2 linked regions of the Elephas maximus indicus genome follow. The protein of the gene in region 1 interacts with the protein of each later gene in a pairwise test. Links are inferred from orthologs where the notes say so. Each region holds a gene or a part of one and is shown on either strand. Other genes may lie near its edges.

The links.
Region 2: the proteins of ZNF410 (region 1) and SERTAD1 interact in binary tests that used the Homo sapiens proteins (3 or more experiments, as listed by UniProt). The two-hybrid records come from large-scale screens. The link is inferred for Elephas maximus indicus from reciprocal best matches to the Homo sapiens genes ZNF410 and SERTAD1.

What each region holds. Positions count from the first base shown.
Region 1 is NC_064828.1:86,625,259-86,629,005, reverse strand, and holds the start of ZNF410 (zinc finger protein 410), read right to left. Parts: upstream 2,914-3,747; 5' UTR 2,856-2,913; coding exon 2,823-2,855; intron 1,756-2,822; coding exon 1,620-1,755; intron 1-1,619. UniProt on the Homo sapiens protein: Transcription factor that binds to the sequence motif 5'-CATCCCATAATA-3', and is specifically required to silence expression of fetal hemoglobin in adult erythroid cells.
Region 2 is NC_064829.1:111,235,821-111,239,567, forward strand, and holds the start of SERTAD1 (SERTA domain-containing protein 1), read left to right. Parts: upstream 1-1,215; 5' UTR 1,216-1,364; intron 1,365-2,956; coding exon 2,957-3,670; 3' UTR 3,671-3,747. UniProt on the Homo sapiens protein: Acts at E2F-responsive promoters as coregulator to integrate signals provided by PHD- and/or bromodomain-containing transcription factors. Stimulates E2F1/TFDP1 transcriptional activity.

The DNA of each region.
Region 1 (3,747 bases):
TCTATAATGTGAATGAGGCAGGGTTAGAGGCAGTTACGTTAATGCGGCAGGACTCAAATCTACAGGATTAGGTTGTATCTTGAGTCAATCTCTTTTGAAATATAAAAGAGAGAATCGAGCAGAGAGGAGAGGGACTTCATGCCACCAAGAAAGAAGAGCTGGGAGTGGAGCACTTCCTTTGGACTTAAAGTCCCTGTGATGAGAAGCTCTCACATAAGGGGAAGATGGATGATGAGGACCTTCCCCCAGAACCAGCAGAGAGAGAAAGCCCTCCCCTAGAACTGGCACCCTGAATTCAGACTTCTAGCCTCCTAGACTGTGAGAGAATAAACTTCTGTTTGTTAAAGCCATCCACTTGTGGTATTTCTGCTACAGAAGCACTAGATAACTAAGACACCACTAGGGAATGGTAACCTGTAGAACTTATAACAAACAAAATAAGTCATCATCAACAATACTGGCCCTCCCCTGATTTAACATTAACATTCCAAACATTAAAAACAAGGGTCAGAAAATAAAGACTTCATAGCACCCAAAAATAACGTTCTCCTTGCTAATAGGGTGCAATAGGTCTCAGTGGATAGACAGCCAACCCCCACTACTGGCCCTTCTGTTTTCACTAAGCCCAGAACTATTACCATGGGTTTCACTTAAAAAGGAACAAATGATGAATGACTCATTAGAATGTTAATTAAAAATGTACAGTTCCTTTTCAAGAAGTCTTTTTAAAAACGATAAAAATCCTCCATTATTTATTAAGGCTCCTAAGGGCAAGGAATATATCTATTGCCTTTACAACTTCCCCTAAAACCTTGAGGGATGGTTTCTCAATGATGACTCTAATGGTAGAGATCTCCCTCTTTCCATTCAAAGCTAATCTCACTACCTATACTCAGCATTCTACTTCTTTTTACTGCTCCTGACCTTGTCACCCATAATCCACTCTCTCCTTCTGTCTGCAGCTTCTCTATAAATTGGTGTTTTTCTTTTAGCATAAAAATACCTCTCATCTAAAACAAAAACAAAATTCTTCCCTTTACCTTACATGCCTCTCTTTTCCTTCCTGTCACAGGAGAGCCTTTAGAAAGTATAGTTAGCTCTTCAACTATACTTACATTGAGTGGAATATATTGTATTAATACCCCAACCCACTGCACCCTGGCTTTCTACTCCCTTCACTCAATGGAACAGCTCCTATCAAGATCAATAATGGCCTTCTTTTAGTTCCATTTCACTGGGCCTCTCAGGAGCTTCTGACATGTTAATTATTCTCTAAGGTTCCATGCTTCCACTCTGCTGATATTCTTCCTAATATCCTAGCCGTTCCTTCTCAGGCTCTTCTGCCTCATTCTATACCTTCAATAGGAAGTTCTATAGCATTCTTCTCTTGGCCTTCCTTTCTTCTCACTCTCACACTCCGGGGGTGATCACATACATTCCCATGGCTTAAACTACCAATGCATTTATAACTCCCATGATTGCTTTTTTCTCCATGACGCCCAATTTTTACAATCTCCACCAGTCAGTTATAAAGTCAGTTCTCCCACTCCACTGGTACCATACAGTAGGCTAAGCTCTTAGGACTCCATTATCCTATCTCTAGTGATCTCAGTTTTTACCTGGTAACATTAGCCGGCTGCATTCTGAGGCCTCAGTCACCGGAAGGAGGGACAAGCAAGTAATGTCTTTAGTTTCTGATTCCACTAGTCCCTGTCCCAATGGGATAGAGGTATTCTGAACAAACTGTACCAGGAGCTAAAGAGGGGTAAAAAAAGGCAACACTGAGAAATACAGGTTGTCGGGTATGGATCTAAGCCTTTGACTTTACCAAAAAGTGATATACCATATTTTTGCAAACAACCCAGCCACACATACCACACACAGAAATGATGAAATTAAAACCGTTCTGGCATAATCTGCACGTTATTTGCATAAAATGTAGTAATTAAGTCTTGACTGTTCACTAATCTAGGCCTTTATTCATAGAAAAACTAAAGTAACTATAACATAATATTTAAAGTTATTTATCAAGTCCTCTGTTCTGGAGAAAGGCTGAATTTTATAATTATGTTAACCTCTGTCACCTCTCATCAGAGAAATGATAAAAATAATTACATTTTTAAATGATGGCTATTAAAAAATTTCAACTGTATTATATTGATTACATTTTACAAAGCACTCTTCTGTGAACTGGCTCATATAATCCTCACTGCAACCCAGTAAGACTAAACATGTATTTTTCAGATGACAAATCAAGTTGAAGACATTGAGTGATTTGTCTAAATTCACATGGCTAGTTAAGATCAATACCAGTCTTCCAACTTAAGTAATCTAATTCTACATTCAGCAACCTTTCCATTATGCATCAGAGATGCACTAACATTAAAGTGAGAAAAATGAATACACACACACATATATAAATTTCATTTTATAATATCTTGATTATAATAATTTTACACTTAATAACAAATATAAAAAGTCATAAAAGATAAAAACAGTACTTTTAAATCTTTGAAAGTACTTAGTAATGGAAAAATAATAAACTAAGGCAAGAGTTGGCAAACTATGGCCCTTGGGCCAAATCCAGTTCACCATCAGTGTTGTAAATAAACTTTGTATTGGAATACAGCCACGCTCATTAGTGTGTATGACTGCTTTCGCACTGCAACAGGAGAGTTGAGTAGCTATGACCAAAACTGTATGGCCCACAAAGCTTAAAATATTTACTATCTTCCCCATTACAGAAAAAGTTTACTGACCCCAGCAACCAAGGATAAACTTTGGAATACAGCCTATCAAAATAAAAGGACGACTGGGCTCACCTCTGGTTTGGATTCTAACTCATCTGATAACATTGATTCAGCTTCCAAATCCTGTAGCTATTCAGGGGACAGGTTCAAATTTAATTCAGAGTCAATGACACCTTCCTGTTATGCTCATATTTCTTTAGAAAATGCTATGCTCCTGCAGTTAGATGCTGTGCTAGGCAGAACATCAATTCAGCCTAAAATGGGGGAGAGGGGAAGAGGAAGAGAGTTAAGAGCAGTGGAAAATATATCTAAAAAGGCCAAAGACAGACACTTCTTCACAGGTATATCCAAATATCAAAATAAACAAGCAAATGAAGAACTCAGCCCAAAACATGTTACAACAGAACAAGTCCAAGAGGTTTCAAAGCCCATAAAAACGTTATGCTTTGATTCAGCATTTCTACTTCTAATAATCCATTCTAAGAGGTCCTGAATATGGAAAAAGCTGTATGCCCAAGGATGTTCATCTTATCATCTGAGAAAATAAACAACCGGAAGCAACATACAAATACACATATATATCCATTAATTAGGAAGTGATTAAATTACTGCATTGTTACTTAAAAATATGGTCATGAAGATGATGAAACAAAAAAAAATGCTTATGACATGTTAAAAAAATAAAAATCTGTTGCTGTAGAGTCAGTATCAACTCACAGCAACCCCACAGGGCAGAGTAGAACTGTCCCATAGAATTCCAACGATGTAATTTTTAAAGGAGGCTTCTTTACAGAAGCTGTATCTTTCTCTGCAGAGCGGCTGGTGGGTTCGAACTGCTGACCTTTTGGTTAGCAGCTGAGCACTTAACCACTGCGCCACCAGGGCTCCTTATGACGTGTTAAATTACAAAAATAAAATATAAAATTATACATTTGCTATTTTTAAAACCTCTTAATATATGCAGAGAAAAAATTCAAAGGAAACTCACACAGCAATG
Region 2 (3,747 bases), on another chromosome or scaffold:
AGTGCTACGGATTCTAACCAAAGAATCACCAGTTCGAATCCTCCAGGCGCTCCTCAGAAACTCTATGGGGCAGTTCTACTCTGCCCTATATGGTCGCTATGAGTCGGAATCGACTCGACGGCACTGGGTTTGGATTTTTCGGTTTTATTCCCACAACTGCTATTAAAAAGCCCTGCCATCCAGTGGTTTCCGACTCTTAGTGACCGCACAGGACGGAGTAGAACTGCCCCTACAGGGTTTCCAAGGCTGTAATCTTTACAGGAGCCGACTGCCACATTTTTCTCCGCGGGAGCGGCTGGTGGTTTGGAACCGCCGACCTTTTGGTTAGCAGCGGAACGCTTAACCACCGCGCCACCAGGGCTCATTTACAACTGCTTTAAAAGGACATGTTGCATGCCACTTTGAGCATTTTGCACAAATCGTTTAATTCTCAAAACAATCTCCAGAGCCAGACGCTGTTATTTCTCCGGTTTTAAAGATGAGGAAGCTGAGACTCTGGGGATTAAAACATTTGCCTAAGGTCACACAGCTACTTAGGGATTGCAGTCCAGGACTTCAGTGCAGGGCTTCAAACCAGTTGTTCCGGTTGGAACTTCTGCCGAGAATTCGCATTTTCACCCCAAATATACTGAATCAAAAAATCAAAATCTATATTTTAATAAATTCCCCAGGTGATTCTTATGTATAATAAATTTTGAGAACCACTGCTCTACCAGTGGTTCTCAGCATTGGTCACTAACCAGCAGCATTAGCATCGCCTGGGAACTTATTAGAAACGCGAGTTCTCAGCACAACTCTCAAGAGGTAGCCATGACGAGCCCCATTTAAAAAACTGTGTGTGGCTCAGAGAGGTCAAGCATTTTTCCAATGTCATGCATGAGTGAGTGGTAAGCCAGAATTTGCACCCAGGCCTAGCGTGCACACCCCTGTTGCAGCTGGGTGGGTAAGAACTCAAGGGCTGGGTTTAGCAGGCGCATGGGTAGGTGTGAGGGGCTTGCACTTCGATACGCAAAAGCCCCTCCCCGTCACAATCCCTCAGGGCAAATAGCCACGCCTCTTTCTCTCCCGCAGCCGCCGGAACATGCGCTCTGAAGCTAACCTCCCCTCCCTTCCAACCTGCCCCTTACAGGCTCCGCCCACCACCGCATAGGGCCAATCCGTGAGGTAGAGGGTGGGGCCGCCACGGAAGTAGGCGGGAGCTAAGAGGAGTCAGGAGTCTGGAGTTGTGAGCCGGAGTCAGAACCCCGTCTCCGGACCTAGGCGCCGGTTGCTGGAGCGGAGCAAGCGAGCGATGCTGCGGCCGCCGCTTCCTGATTGGCTGCGGGCGGCTAACTCTTCGTTCTGATTGGCAGCTGGTGAACTGGGTATGTAAATGAAGGGAAGAGACCGGGGGAGAGAAGGAGAACCGGCTGCGGGGTCTGTAGGAGGGTTCGATCCCGAGTCCGGCAGGTGCGCGCCGGGGCTGCCCGAGATCTAGATTCACGGGCCTCTACGTGTCGCCCGCCTGGCCTGGCCGGGTGAATCACGCCGCAGCCCGAAAAGGGGGCGGAGGCGCCGGCTCCCTGGCTCCGGCTGCGTGACTCACCCGCCCCCGCCGCCGCCGCTTCGGGAGGAGCCGCCTCCTCTGCCTTCCGGAAGCGAGTAAGAGGCCCGGAGGGCAGAACTGCCCGCCGGAACGGCTCTGGGGGCCAGGCAGGAACGAGAGCCCGGACACGGGGCGGTGTAAAGGGTCCTGGGTTCGGAGGGGCCGAAATCTCCGAGGGAATGCGGGCCTGGGCGCCGCTAGGGGGCGCCGGGGCCCCGGAGGCGGAGCCGGGGGTGGGGGCTAAATTCCTGCGGTTCCGGACTCCAGGGTCTGTGGGACAGAGGGAGAGGACCCAGTCTTGGATAGGATGGGGGTCGCTCTTAAGGTCCTGCTCGGCAAAGGCCCCAGGGATGGATCCTGCAAACTGCCTGAGTCAAAAAAGCAGTCGGGCCAGGGGTCCATAAATCCAGGGATCCACCTGGGGAGGATCTGGGTCCTGAAACTTCTCTGTCACACCCGCCCCCCACGCGCTTCCACTCCCCAGTCAGGATTTCCCGGCAAGTCTTCCCCGCTCTGCATCTCAAATATATCCTGAATCGGTCAACTTCCTTCCGTGTCCACAGCCACCTTCGTTTGCCCCAAAGAGTTACAGCCGCCTGCCTGTGGCTTTTCGGGACACACACACTATTCCTTGCAGTTCCTGTGAGGATCTTCTGAAAACACCATTTCCCTCCCTGCGCACACCCTTCGCTGACTTCCCAACACACAAGGAAAGCCAAACTCCTTACCTTGTCTTATATGGCCGTCAGTGACCTGGCCCCTCCTACTGCCCCCACCTCATCGCCTGCCATCCCACTCCGTGTGCACCAGCCACACCAGTCTTTTTCAGTCCAAGCTTATCCAGCCTCCGGGCCTTTCTTTGCCCATGCTGTTGTTCTGTCTTCCATGGTTCTTCCATGGCTGACCCCTTCTTGTCTCAATTGTCACTTCCTCGAGGACCCTTCCCTGACCACCCCCTACCATGAATCTTTAAGTGTCTTCCTAGCACTATTGGTAATTTTCCTGTATTTGACACAAAGTAGGCATTCAGTAAACACCAGATTTAACTGTGTGAAACAACCACTTCTGTAAGTTAAAAAAAAGTTGGATAATGACCATTTTATATAGTTCAATGAAGAACTAAATAATAGTTATTTCTAAGAGTACTTGTTAATAAAAGTAATTACTGTGTACCAGTCACTGTTGTAAGCCTTTTTGTATCTCATTTAACCCTTAAAACTATGAGGTGAATACCATATGTGAAAAGTTCCCTAAGGTTAAGTGACTTAAGAGAGGTTAAGTGACTTGCCCAAAGCCACACAGTCAGCAATTGTCAGAGCCAGGATTTGAACGTTTGCTTTCTATAACTGAAAGACTCCTTCCTCCCCATAGATGATGCTGAGCAAGGGCTTGAAGCGCAAGCGGGAGGAGGAGGAGGAGAAGGAAACCCTGGCAGTCGATGCCTGGTGGCTGGATCCTGGTCACCCAGACGTAGCACAGGCACCCCCCACCGTGGCCTCCAGCTCCCTCTTTGACCTCTCGGTGCTCAAACTCCACCACAGCCTGCGGCAGAGTGAGCCGGACCTGCGGCACCTGGTGCTAGTTGTGAACACACTGCGACGCATCCAGGCATCCATGGCACCTGCGGCTGCCCTGCCACCTGTGCCCAGCCCACCTGTAGCCCCTGGAGTGGCTGACAGCCTGCTGGCCAGCTCAGACGCTGCCCTCTCAGCCTCTATGGCCAGCCTTCTGGAGGACCTCAGCCACATTGAGGGCCTGAGCCAAGCCCCCCAGCCCCTGGCCGATGAGGGGCCACTAGGCCGCCCCACTGGGGGAGCCCCGCCCAGCCTGGGTGCCTTGGATCTGCTGGGCCCAGCCACTGGCTGTCTGCTGGATGATGGACTCGAGGGCCTATTTGAGGACATCGACACCTCCATGTACGACAGCGAACTCTGGGCACCAGCCTCTGAGGGCTTCAAACCTGGCCCTGTAGAGGGTGCAGGCAAGGAGGCGACTCCAGAGCTGGACGAGGCTGAGCTGGACTACCTCATGGACGTGCTGGTGGGCAAACAGGCACTGGAGCGGCCGCCAGGGCCGGGGCGCTGACCCCCAGGGCTGGGAGGGTTATATTGTGGCTGAACTGAGCCTGGTGGCTGGACCAGCTCTCCTTGGACAGACACAGC